Linked DNA regions of Drosophila melanogaster. Changing the gene in region 3 together with the main gene of any one other region gives a genetic interaction. Each region holds a gene or a part of one and is shown on either strand. Other genes may lie near its edges.

Region 1 (2,940 bases), on a different chromosome or scaffold from region 3:
AGTCGCTGCTTTTCGTTTTGCCTTGTTTATCGGAAAAATCAGTCGAAATTATTGAATTCAGCGTGTCAATGTCGAAGCAAGTTTCATACATATCTAGTTCTTAGTCCACACAATCGAACGATCCGCACCACACACACACAGAAATCGATGGGAGCCATGAGCAGCACCCGAAAAAGGGGCGTGGCCGATGCCCAACATATCTGAATCGAACTTCATTACGTACAGTTAGTTGATATGTAACCTAAGTGCCTATAGTTAAAATAATCGTAAACGAACATTAAAAAAATATATCTATACTTCATAATAACTCGATAAATAATTTTAAGCGAAAATTTAAATTCAATAAATGTTGCTTCAATGTAAAACTAACGTGTTGTCCTTACTTCGAATTACCCGCCAAACCGCATCTGGATTGTTCTATTTTTAACTTCCCTACAATTCCCAAGTGCTTGTTCAATGCTGTGCTTTTATAAATAGCGAAAACCTGCTAGCTTACAATCTCTAGATGATATGATGAAAACTTTACTACCCGAACCATCGTGTGGGCCTTTGCCTCTGGTAAAGGGACGTAATTCTGATTCAGTCAAAAACTGTTTTTGTTTGTTTTTTGAATACAATTTAATGGGTTGTAGTATAAAAATAAACTTTTCTCCTATAATTTAGATTCCAGAACGTTTTTTAACCACCGTGTAAAGTTGATATAAACAACACATTGTCGTTGGGCTGCAGCTCGTAGTCCAGTTCACCCTAGAAGTTGAGTTAATTATAGTTTTTAGAATTCCATATTCTGTACTCTTACTTACCAGCAATTCCCAGTCTGTATCATTTATGAGTACTAAAATTCCAGGTCGCCTGAAAACATACAATAGAAAGTATAGACTATGTATCCCTTATAGTTTAAGCCAAACTTACACAGTATCTCCTTGAAGAAAAAGTTCCGGACGCTCCGTTAAAATATTCGCATGCATCCACTTAAGCAGATTAGCAATAGTCCCTTTAAAATATATATAATTCATAACCGATTTCACTCAAGTTTAAAACATCTTTTAGAACATACATTTTTGTTTACCGTCCAAGTTCAATTCACGGCGTTTTATGTTACCAAATAGTAACTCCGCCCCTGCACTACGAAATTAAATTACAAATTGTCTCATTTATTGGAAATAATAATTCGAACAAGGCTTTATATACCTGAATTCTAATATGATTTTTAATTCCGGCGTGCCCATCATATGTTCGATGTAAATAAATGTGTGACCGCGTCTAAGCTTTTCAAAAAAATCCACCATTCAAAAATAATACCAAATATAGAATCCTAATTTCTAAAAAGTCTGGCAACCACATGCTCTAAACTTCCAAAAATTATTGCATTTTGAAAGAAATTATAATTTGTACGTAAATTTACCTTTACCATTCACCTTCGACGAGGGGACTCAGCATTATAATTATTCCCATTGAGAAACATAAACAGGTGGCATTCCAATGGAACGCTAGGTAAAGTTTTCATTAGCATATTATGATCTGTGCTCTAAGAAGACATTTTACATTTCGTTGTGAATTTATGAAATTAAAAAAAACACGTTATCATAAAGAGCGTTTTTTTTATTGCTTCTCCTCGCTCGTTTTCGACTTTTCAGGATTCGGAGTCAGATCCAGTTTGAAATCGATCGGTTTGTCGTAACCCATTATCTTAACATAGTGCTCGGGATCATCGAAAAGCGCTGGATCCACAAACAGAGGTCGTTTGTTGACCAGAAAAGAGGTGAACATGCCGGGAACCTCCGGAACGACCACATCATTTGGTCGGAAAGTAGTCTAAAAGGTAAATAATATGTACATTGAAGGCAAGCTCTTTTAAATTTGCTCTACCCACCTTGATTTTTTGCAGAAGCAGGGATATTGTGGTGGCCGTGTACTCCTCCGTTAGTGGATTGTAGTGCAGCTCCGTCACGTATTTCTTGGTAATAAAGTGCAGCAGCAGAGGAGTCACAAAGGTGAAGAATCCACCGACGGTGCAGAGGAATACGGCCATTCCAGTTCCTCCGATTTTCATTCCCTGCTCGAGAAGAATGGGCTGGGCGGCCAAGCCGGCTAAGCTGGTGCTCAGCGAAAAGAACTTGACCATTTTCATGCGTGGCGCAAGAGTTCCATAGTAGATCCGCTGCAGTGCATCGTCGGATTCAGTTTTCGTCGACTTCACCGAAAGCCACCTGTTTTGCTGGAAGTTCTGTGGTTGTGACTGCTGTGGTCTTGTCCATGAGGCACTAGTAATGCATCTGCAGTTGTGGGGCAGGGTAATCTGACGGCTGACATTTCCCAGGACAACAGCAAAGTGTTTCCCTTTTGGCAGCATCGCTCGCAGGCCTAACATGGTGTAATTTACTTATTTCAGTAGAAATAAACAGCTGTTTTTGCCGAACGTTAAATAACACGAGTTGCAGTGTGGCCCACACTTGGGCGCTAAAAGAATCCAGAAACGATACGTCTATTCAAAATATACCAACTCTCCTTTTGAATACCGAAACAGGAAACGGCAACATTGCACTGACAACGGAAATTTAAATCGATACTGACTATTTTTACTTATTGATACTAAAAACAAATATTAAAAATTTAAAATCCTAAAATTCTAACATTTCTAAGCTAAAATTAATTTACATTAAACCGACCAATATTACAATCTTATAAGATAAGATTCTCTTTAAAAAATACAAAAATAAAAATTAATAATAATTACACTTGTACTTACCAATTAGGAGCTGATTATTTAACACTTATACATCGATTAAAATTCACTTACACTCACGCTTAAAACGGTAGGAAAGGCGTTTGCAAATATTATTCAAAGTGTTGACCTACTTTAGGATATTGCTGCCAAAAAATTCGATTGTATTTCCCAATGATTTTCCAACCAATTCGGAACAATAGAGCTAGTAATTC
Region 2 (6,194 bases), 5.2 Mb from region 3:
ACGGATTCGAGACTTTATGTGCGTTAGGAATGCACCTTCACCGCTGAGCAGGCAAACCGACAGCTTCGCAGTCTCGCGACCAACTGAAGCCCGAGGAGTCCTGGCAGCGCCATTTAAGCAGCTCCCACTTTTGCTGCCCGCAGGAGTGCGGCCTTGTGGGGAGAGCGGGGGCTGGTTTGCTGCGAGCGGACGGGGCCAGTGGGTCGGTGGGTGGTGGGTGGTGGGTGGTGTTTGGCTGGCTGTTTGGCCGCAGTAAGCCGGCAGCACTTTGTAACGGCGGCGAACAGCTGACTGCAAAAGCTCAGTAAGCAGCTTTTGTCGCAACTTTCGAATGCCACACCTGGCAATGCCGCGCGCAGCGAGCTTTTGCGCTCTCAGTTCTGTTTACGTACGAGCGGGTGAGGCGCAGACAGCGATAGTTTGACAGCTGTCCCGAAACCAGGGCTGCTGCAAAACGTCAGTGGGTAAAGTGCTTGGCACTTATGATACCTCTTAGTTGCCTCAGATGTTTGAATTTCTATTACACTATTATACTACACTATTATACTACACTATTATACTACACTATTATATAAAATAAAATCGATTCTAACATTTTGAGGAACTGAATGAACAACCCTTATGGCTTCTTTAATGACACTCACTGAATTGTGTCGAACTTTGTCTAAAGACAAAATACCTTTATCAAACACTTTTGATGGGAAACACCATCCGATCCGTTCAAACTAAATTTATTGCAGATCAAATGACGCCTCAGAAACGATTCGACGGCCACACGATACCCTCGATATAGTCGAGAAAGGAGGAGACGCGTGTGTAGAGGCCCGGGGTCTTGGTGGCGCAGCCGAAGCCCGAGGAGATTACGCCTACGATCGAGTAGGTGCCGTCGACGTCGTCAATCTCCAGGATGAGAGGTCCACCGGAATCGCCCTGACAGGCGTCCTTTCGCTGATTCTTGTCCGCCGCGCACAGCTGCGAGGCAATCACGCCCCTTCTCAACGTCCGGTTGGCACTCGGCTGTTCCGCAAAGGATGCATTGCACTCGTCGGCCGGCACCAGATCCAGAGCCGCCCGCAGCAGGATCTTTGATACGGCACGATCTGTAAAGACACCATCGAACACAATCCAATCCTGCAGTTTACGCACACACAACTTACTGGTCACATTCATTACACCCCAACCGGCGACGAAATATTTGTAGTTCGCTGGCGGATCACTGCGATCCGTGTAGAGACAGGCGGGACGGATGACATCGGACTCCTTGGCATCCTCGGCCAGCTGCAGAATGGCGATATCGTAGTACTTACTACTGCCGGAATAGTCCGGATGAATTTGAACATCAATCTGCCAATGGAAGTGAGTGAGTTCAACTGGTTATCTCGCACCATGTGTCACATGGCGATACCAACCACATTGATGTCCTGGTAGCCCGGCTCGGGATTTTCGATGTTCAACGCACCCAGACGGACGAAACTGGGTGTGCTATCGTCACTATTGACGCAGTGAGCCGCTGTGAGGACGAATCGACTGGCGATGAGCGATCCACCACATCGGAACGCTGCGCTCCCGAAGGAGTTGTACGCAATGGCCGCCATGTGGGGATAGACGCCCCTATCCACCCGTTCGCCGTCCAGAATGTGCACCGTCAGGGGCTTTCCACCGGATCGGATCTTCTCACACGCTATCATCAGATGATAGGAAATTTAATATATATTGTATATAATATATCTCCAAAGATATTTTCATATAAAATATTCCAAAGAATGCGCAACTCACCTGCCACCGACGGTCGCTCCTTCTCGGGAAGATTGACGCGGGAGGGATTGGGATTGGGCGTCGTTGGCCTGCGAAAGACAAGGTATATCAGCGATTAAAATTGGGCTCACGATGGTTTCCACCTGAGACAGAGACTGCATGCGGCTCCCTGGCTGAGGCCAACTGATGTCCATGCCAAAAGAATGCTCAGACAAACCGCGTCTCGGCTGGATTGAAGATGCTGGGAGCTGGATCCGCGTCTAGATTATTGCTGACATCGTTCCAGGGTTCCTGGGGCTGGGTATCCTTGTCTCTGTCCTGGCCCCGAAATCGGTAGGGTTCAAAGGGATCGATCAATTGCGTGGGCGTGGGTGCGGGTGTGGGCGTGGGCGTGGTTTGCAACACCATGGGCACTTCTCGAGCAGGCTCAATCTGCATTCCCTGCTCCCGCAGCCGATCGTTGACCAAATGTATGAGGTTGTTATTATTGGGGCTTGGATTGGTATTGAAATTGGAATTATTCGGTCTTTGGGGTCGTGATCGAGGCGTGGTCAGTGGACGGTTCACAATCCGTGGCTCACGGCCCCACTCCGGTTCCATAAAAGATCTCTGGGTGCTTGCAATGGGTTGAGTCTTCGAAGGAGCTATGCCCCAAGCTCCAACGCTTTGGATGGGCAACTTCATGGGTTCGTGTGTGGGCAACTTCATTGACTCGTGAGTGGGCATCTTCATGGACTCGTGAGTGGGCGTCTTCATCGACTCCTGTGTGGGCAACTTCAAGGACTCGTGGGTTTTCTGCGGCTTTACTGTGGTGCTTAGCAGCTTGTTGAAGTCAAAGAAGTTCTGATTCTCGTCCAGCCGACTTTCCCGCTCCCTTTTCCCCTCGGTGGTCGTTGGAGGCAGTGGCTCCGGTTCTGGTGTTGGTTCCCGCTTGGGTTCGGGTAAACTGCTGCGCTCGGAGCTCGTAGCATGGAATTGGACCTCACGACCTCGACTGTGGGAGTGAGAGGTGTTAGTCTGGCGTTGGACGCCGGTAACCGGGGCATGCAACATCGGTGGGCACACAGCACAAGCGGGACACACACAAACACATATATATGGTGCACAAACAGGAGGACAAAAAACAGGACAATAGAGCGCAGAGGCCAAGGAGACAAGGACACGCTTACTCAGTGGCACAGCAGGCGACGGTGGGGCAGCAGATGATCTCCTCGCGGGCGCCAAAACCACAACTCGGCACCTGGCTGGTGGACAGCGTGCCCGACTTCAAATATCCTCTGATGTTCTCGCAGGCTGAGGAGGAGAGGCAGATTCCCGGTATGTCCGACCTCACCTGGCAGGGATCGCCCTCTGCAACGAGAAATGCGGCCAGCTGGCAAGGATCTAGTGTACGCGCCGCAAGACATCCTACATACCATCCCCAACTGTTACATACGCAGAAGTTGTCAGCACCAGGAGACCCAGAAGGAAGTACCTTCTCGCCGAGATCATCGCCATCGGTCAGCTGAAATTCCCAAAAGCATTAGTGAATCCCATTCTACTTGGTAACGCTTATCAGCCTTATCAAAACCGAAAATGGAAAACATCATTTTCACAACAGGGGAAGCCCTCGTCGAAATGGTAAGGGAAAAACAAACGAGATCTGTTTCTTTCAATCGACTCGACTTTCAGCTGATTAAACCGATCCACATCCACTGCCATTGACCCATTTACGATTTTTTTTTTTTTTTAATATGGGAACACCACAAAAGCATTCTCCATATGAACTGCTCGATTGTAGTAAGCCAGACTTGATTGATTTCATTTGAGAGACTTTGTGTTGATGGAAAGTTTGTGTTTGCCGATTACGACGAGCATTTCACCAGCAGCGCCGCCAGGTGAGATCAGATGATTCATGGGAGGCATGCCGCTGGGATTTTACCACCGGCTAAAGACGTGTACTGCCAACTGATATCGCAGCTACGTCGGTAATAACCGATACGAAAGTAACACCTGACAATTATGCTGCTCAATTGAGCAGAGAGTCGTCAATGTGTCTGCAGTTCAACTGAATCATATATATCCGATTGAAGCAATGCAAAAGTGTCATGACATCACCTGTTATCGGCCCAAATGAAATTGTATTAAATAGGTATGCGATTGCTAATCAGCTTCCGGCCTTCCGCAGTAATTGCCCATTGTAAACACGACGAAATCAAAAGTAGAACATGCAATACATAGCCCCACATCCCCACATCCCGCAATCCCAATGTCCATTGTCCACTGTTCACTGTACACCGACGTCCGCCTTATCGAACGCACCTTTGACACGACCTTTTTTCGGTCTCTGATAAGGGAGTAGTACGTCTACGTATCGATGTCGTTTATTGAGTGCGTCGAGCACTGTGGTGACTATGGCAATCGGGCACCGCACAATACAATACAATTTAATTCAATACCACATAAACAAAACAAAATCCAAGGGAATTACGAAAAAAAAAAATAAAAAATAAAGAAAAAAACACCGCAAAAAGCACACCAGCAGAGTCAATAAAGCTAAAAACCGGTGGCTATCACAAATCGCGGCGGTATGGAATCTGCTGGCTATTTTCCCGGCTCTGACCGCTCAGCAACGCATCGCCCAAGCAACTGAAGCCAAGCTTCTGAGCCCCAGCTGGAGCTGGAGCTGGAACCGATGAGGCCCATTTAGACGTCGACCAAGAAGCGCCGGACCCAGCAGCTGATAGCACCCAGAGCCGATCCTCTCCCGCTGAGCGGCGAACCGGTTTCCCATTCCACCACTTCGCAGAATCGCAGAACGATCCGAAGCGATCAGAAGCCAGAGCACACAAAGCACAAAGGCAGCCTGTAATTAGCGAGTGGGTAAGCAACAGGCGAGCGGTATGGACTAAAGGATACCGCGTAAGGTCTATGCTGCGCTTGGTGACCCCGATATTTACACCTTTAAAAGTCGAGTATAATTGTGTCACAGAATCGTGTTTTAGAACTTACCATATATATAGTTTCAATTGCAGTAATCTTGTTTTTTTTTTTTTTGTATAATTCTTCTCTAATTAAAGTGGTGACCCAGATACTTACTTTCTTGCCTAGGTTGCGACCTAGGTGGTGACCCAAGAAGTCCTTTTCAACTTATAGTCTGAAACATATGCTTAAAATTTAAATTTCTTATGACAAATCTTTCTGAAATAAATGCATTCTGTTTGTATTTCCCCATTTTTTTTATACAGTGCAGCAATTCAATAAAAGTGGTGACCCAGAAATCCCTCTAAAATTAAACAGAACCAGAAAAATCACTTCACAGAGTTCTGGAAACCGAACTGCCAGAAATAATATTGTACCGATTGATTATATCTTAAAACGTATCTACTTTATTGGTATTAAATGGTTCGATCGCGGTGCTCATAGAGATCACAGATGAGTGTTTGCCAATTGCGATGGATCAGGCAGTCCTGATCCCAAATAGAAATAATATACATACAAAAAAAACAAAAACTTTACTTTTCCCAACTTTACACCCGATTGTCCGGCCAGACAATGCCCTCGATAAAGTCCAGATAGGACGAGACACGCGTATAGAGTCCCGGTGTGACGGTGGCGCATCCGAATCCCGACGAGATGACGCCCATGATGGTGTACATGCCGTCCTCCACGTTGAGCTCATGAATGAGCGGCCCACCGGAGTCGCCCTTGCATGCGTCGGCGATGAGCTTTTGATCAATGGCGCACAGCAACGAATCGATCACGCCCTGCTTGAGCAACCTTATGGAACCGGGCTGCTCCGCATAGGATATATTGCATTGGTCCAGAGGCACCAGCTCCAGACCAGCGCGCAACAGGATCTTAGATCGCGCCCGAGCTGCGGATGGTTAGCCATTAGTGGAAGTGGAGGATATGGAACTTTTTGTGCTACCCACTGGTTACATTTAGGACGCCCCAACCGGCGACAAAGAACTTGGAGTTCGATGGCGGATCGGTGGCATCCGTATGGAGACAAGCGGGCCGGATGTTATCCGTCTCGACGACATCACGTTCCAGTTCCAAAATGGCGATATCGTTGTACTTATTGCCCACATACTGCGGATGGATCTTAACGCTTCGCTGAGATATGGTATCGATCAGAATGGCTATAACTTAATGCATAAGCACAGTGACTCACTATGACGATATCCTGGTAGGAATGGTCTGGATTTTCAATGTTCACAGCTCCCAAGCGAACAAAGGCCGGCGTATTGGCATCGGTGTTGACACAATGTGCGGCGGTCAGGACGAAGCGACTGGCGATTAGCGATCCGCCGCATCGGAAATCGGTGCCAAAAGTGATGTAACCAATGGCCGCCATATGGGGATATACACCCGGATCAACCGGATAACCGCCCACGATGTGTATGACCAATTGATTGCCGCTCCTCTGCTGTTTTCGCTCGCGAATCTTCTTGCAG
Region 3 (4,439 bases):
GAACTACACGTAATAGTTGAAACGCTGCGATCACAAAAGGGGGTTCAAATCAGGCAGATCGTATATATTTATATACATATATATCTGGGTATACCGGTAGAGTCAAGACCCGTTTAATATGCGAGACATCCACGTCGACTAGAGGACTCTCGCTTGCGCTTAACATTGAAATGGATGGGTGGTGATGGTGGCAAAACGGGAATTGTGCACTCGGTTACTGTGTCACCAATCCAACAGCTGTTGTCTGCACTGCAATAAAATGCCACATCAAAGTAACAAAGTTACAGAATATGTGGAACAACTAATAGGTAACTACAAGTACATGTTAACAGATTATTAACCGGGTTTAATTAGACATCACATGTAGATTTGTATACTGTGCACAAGTCACTCGTCATTTCTTTCAGCGAAGCATTCCTGGCATTCTGATTCAGTCTATTTGCAATTTCGCAATTGCCAGTCGCAGACGGTGATAAGTCGCCCGCTGCTATTTCTTTCCATTTTTTTTTCTTTTGTGGAAATGTTTCCCCGGATGATAAGACCAGAGGTTTGAGGCGAAAGTCCGCCCGCCACCCCCTGATAAAGACCCACGTGCTCCGTACAATCGTTTATTGTGGTGAATTACAAAAAAAAAAAAGCACACAAAATATACGTAAAAAATAATCACTTTCCGCTTAGCGTCTGCAGGTGTTTATCATCTTATTTTTGGGTGGCGCTGTTGCAGGGAAAGATGCCTCACAGTTTCTTCTTCTTCTACGCTCTAGGGTTAATGTGTAGGATATATAATGTAGTATATGTATTGGTTTTAGTTGAACGGGGGGTTTGCGATTCGAATCCACTCCCACTCGCCAGGAGCGGCCCCGTTCAGCGAACAGATAGCCTCTTTAGGAGGTGGTCTCGAAGTACTCCTTGGACTTGGTGGGATCGGCCACCATGGTCTTCTGGCCGGGCTTCCAGTTGGCGGGGCAGACCTCGCCGTACTTGTCGGTGTACTGGAAGGCCTGGACGAGACGCAGGGTCTCCTCCACACTGCGACCTACGGGCAGATCGTTGACGGTGATCTGGCGCAAGTTCTGCTTGTCATCGATGATGAACAGGCCGCGGAAGGGGATGCCAGTCTCCTCATCGAGCACTCCATAGTCGCGGGCCACCTTCATCGACTTGTCAGCCAGCAGTGGAATGTCCATGCTGCCCAGACCACCCTGCTTCCTTGGCGTGTTGATCCAGGCCAAGTGGGTGAACTGGCTGTCCGTGGAGCAACCGATCACCTCGCAATTGATCTTGCGGAACTCGGCGGCGCTCTCCGAGAACGCAATGATCTCGGTGGGGCACACGAAGGTGAAGTCCAGCGGGTAGAAGAAAAGCACCAGGTATTTGCCCTTGTAGTCGCTCAACTTGATGTCCTTGAAAACACCGTTGACGACGGCGGTGCCGGCGAATGCGGGAGCGGGCTTCTGTAGCTGGGGCATCTGTTCAATGAATGGATGGCGAATTAGAGACATGTTTCTTCAAACTAGCGAATAATTAACAACAAAGTGCTCTGAACTTAGTCGCCTTCTTTTGAGAACTTCAATTGTAAATCCCTCATATGGTCCCCTTGAAATCTCGCTGTGACTGATACTTCCTCTTTCGACCGATACGCATCTTATCTTATCTATCAAGATTTTTTGGGCCCCACAAAAAACAAAAATTTCATCACTCTAACCTCGGATTATTACAAGATAACCGTTGTTTAAAAAAATTGCATTTATAGAGGCTAGTGAAATCATGGAAATTAATATGAATAGATACTGTTAAAGTATTATGATGGGAAATCAATATTATGCTAGGCCCTTAGAATGAAAATTGGAAATATTTACGAAATTCTTGAAATTTCTCATATGCAATATACCTATTTTGTAGTAAACTTACTATTTTATAACCTTTAATCTTGCCTATGTAACTTCCAATTGGTTTTCAATTGTAAAGTAGTTAACTTGATGCTAATTCCATACTAAAAGTCTCTATAAATCGGAGTTCTAATGGCGGCAATTACTAACGATTAAGGGCAATTACCCTTGACTTCCAGATATTTCGCCACAAACTGGAAAGATCAAAGAGGAGAGTAGAAAAGCTGAACTCTACAAAATGGCCGCCGAGCGAAGCGAAATGGAAGAAACCCGGAATAATAAATTAGCCAAATTTTTCGACTGCTCCCATTTATGCGATTGAATTTATTGAACTGTCGGCACGTTCGCGTATTTCATGTAATGGATGCGAATTAATTACAAATCACAAACTTATTTCTGAATTGGCAAATATTTTCCTCTAGTTTTGATTTCATTTTTGTGCCCTTTTTTTCGCCGGCTCTTCGCGTGTACGTGTGTGTGTAAGTGTGTGCGACGGACGTGCCAATAAAGTGGAAAAAAAAGAACGAAATGTGAAGAAAAAAACTATGCTCTCGGTGCAAAAAGTTGTGAAATAATCTCGAATCTGCCGACCGAACATGAACATCATTATCTTTTGCTCATCGAAAAAGAACAACAACAGCAACAACAGCGATGCTAATTTCTAATCTTACGCTCCGCAATTTCTCGCCGACTTTGCCCAGAATGAGCGACCTGTTCATCGCCCAAGGAACACTCACTTTAAACAGTTATATTTTTTCTCTTAGTAATTCTCGGTAATTGCTTGACTTCCGCGTGGGCTTCCTCTTGTTCGTTCTCTCGCAGCTTCAGCTTTCGCACAAACAAACCTTTCGGCACGAGTTGAAATTCGCGAATGGATTGAAATTAAGCGAATGCTGGTCGACCAGGGCTGCCGCAACACGGATACCGCTTGCGATAGGCAGCGCCGATTAACGCTGCTCATCGATATTTTTTAGCAAGTGCTTAAAGCGCCATCTATCAACTATTGGCGTGCTTTTCAAAAGTGGATTCTACATTTTAAATGGTAAGTTTTAATATTCAAGTTTTAAGATAGTAGCGCTTAATAACTTTTGATAGACTTGGAAACAAGTACTACTACTAATAATAAATAATGTGTAATAATATGTACTGAGCAGTACTTTTAGTATAATTCGGGCACACCAGCTTAACGGTCACACTGGTCGTCATTTTGCCGCCAAAATGAAAAAACCGCGCTTTTTTTTAATTCTTCCATTATAAATAATGTAGTTAAAGAACTGATTCCTGTTTATAATAACCATTTCTATTCCACTTTGGCGCAAATAATATTTTCTATGTATTATGCTATTCTGTGGTCCACAAATCTCCACAAATAAATTGAAACAAGTACTTTCGTTTTTTCGTTTTGTTTTAACTGAATTTAATAGTGCACAATTAGTAGTATTTAGTAGGTAGTCGCATAACCATTATATTAAAAACTTAGTCTAAGCTCTTGTTGCGTGTTGGGTGTGTTCATTTCTTAGTTACTTTTCGTATCGTTACGATCGACAGTTGCAACTGCCTTGTGGGTATTATCTCCAGCCATTCGGGTATCTCTAGGATTCGCCAAACGTGAATTTTTTTGTTTTTTTTTTTGTTTTGGATAAATAAATTACACTACAGCAGCAGCAGCAGCACATATAGGCCAGGCTATATATCTTCTATATATGTATATGTACGCGTATATCGTATATATTAAAAAATATGTGTATGCATATTGTGATTTCAGTCTTTGATTTTAAACTTAAGGGGTTAAATGTACGCAAACTGTTAGAAAAAAACAAAAAAAAAATGTATAACTAAGCCTAGGAATTGGGGATTAATCGATTCGGAAATTGGAAATGTCTTTGTCTCCGGGGCCCAGCCCCAAACCTCCGTGTGGAAATGTATGGATTTCCCATTAGGGTTTGCTCTCTTCACCCGTCTGCTCCGCTTGATCTCCTCCAGAACCAGAAACGGGTGACTGAATGGCCTCCGCCTGCGCTTGCGCATGCGCCTCCGCCTCCATGGATGCCTGCAGCTCCACAAAGATATCAATGAGATTGTTGATACCGATGAGATAGCCATCTTCGTGGTTGCCCACCTTCCAGGCGGAGTAGTGATCGATCCGCAGCTGCGGCGGCAGCTCCACCGTCTTGGCGAAATCAATTAGCCATATGCTGGCGTGGGTCTGATCGTGGACGAAGAGCAGGGAGCTGCCGATAACCTCGTGGGTCTGGAAGAATTCCGAGACCGCAAGGGTGGCCCTTATGGCTCGCAAACGCTGTATGTAGCGGGGCTGTATGCAAAAAAAAAAAAAGAAAAGAAAATAAAATAAAAAGAAAAGAAAAAGTAATGACAAGCGCAGGGAATCCCCAAGTTAATGGCATTCAACTGGGCATGCTTGGCTAATTTGAATACCCACCAAAATATGTGGGTGACCGCTGAGGAACTCGAGAAAGGCCAACTTGATTTGTTCGCGTGACTTCGTCGTTTTGAAATCTTTGGAACTGGTGCCATCGCTCTTCTTGATGC

Evidence for each region. A genetic interaction does not mean that the proteins touch.
Region 1: of Prx2 (region 3) and Urm1, changing one suppresses a phenotype caused by changing the other (phenotypic suppression), as found in Drosophila melanogaster (one study listed by BioGRID).
Region 2: of Prx2 (region 3) and Hayan, changing one suppresses a phenotype caused by changing the other (phenotypic suppression), as found in Drosophila melanogaster (one study listed by BioGRID).

Annotation. Positions count from the first base shown.
Region 1 is NT_037436.4:7,639,213-7,642,152, forward strand, and holds Urm1 (Ubiquitin-related modifier 1), read right to left. Parts: upstream 1,235-2,940; 5' UTR 1,230-1,234; coding exon 1,192-1,229; intron 1,126-1,191; coding exon 1,058-1,125; intron 995-1,057; coding exon 913-994; intron 853-912; coding exon 804-852; intron 748-803; coding exon 679-747; 3' UTR 599-678; downstream 1-598. Other genes in the region: CG7506 (uncharacterized protein), read right to left, coding at 1,603-1,815, 1,874-2,371.
Region 2 is NC_004354.4:18,479,385-18,485,578, forward strand, and holds Hayan (hayan), read right to left. Parts: upstream 4,389-6,194; 5' UTR 4,057-4,388; intron 3,260-4,056; 5' UTR 3,253-3,259; coding exon 3,171-3,252; intron 3,106-3,170; coding exon 2,925-3,105; intron 2,750-2,924; coding exon 1,973-2,749; intron 1,845-1,972; coding exon 1,777-1,844; intron 1,749-1,776; exon of another isoform or gene 1,682-1,748; coding exon 1,410-1,681; exon of another isoform or gene 1,345-1,409; coding exon 1,158-1,344; exon of another isoform or gene 1,101-1,157; coding exon 754-1,100; 3' UTR 599-753; downstream 1-598. Other genes in the region: psh (persephone), read right to left, coding at 5,265-5,611, 5,670-5,853, 5,912-6,194. UniProt on the Drosophila melanogaster protein: Serine protease which, by converting prophenoloxidase 1 (PPO1) into its active form, plays an essential role in the melanization immune response to physical or septic wounding.
Region 3 is NC_004354.4:13,328,152-13,332,590, reverse strand, and holds Prx2 (peroxiredoxin 2), read right to left. Parts: upstream 2,768-4,439; 5' UTR 2,627-2,767; exon of another isoform or gene 2,561-2,626; intron 2,193-2,560; exon of another isoform or gene 1,912-2,192; intron 1,573-1,911; exon of another isoform or gene 1,470-1,572; coding exon 885-1,469; 3' UTR 597-884; downstream 1-596. Other genes in the region: IP3K2 (inositol 1,4,5-triphosphate kinase 2), read right to left, coding at 3,826-4,203, 4,330-4,439. UniProt on the Drosophila melanogaster protein: Thiol-specific peroxidase that catalyzes the reduction of hydrogen peroxide and organic hydroperoxides to water and alcohols, respectively.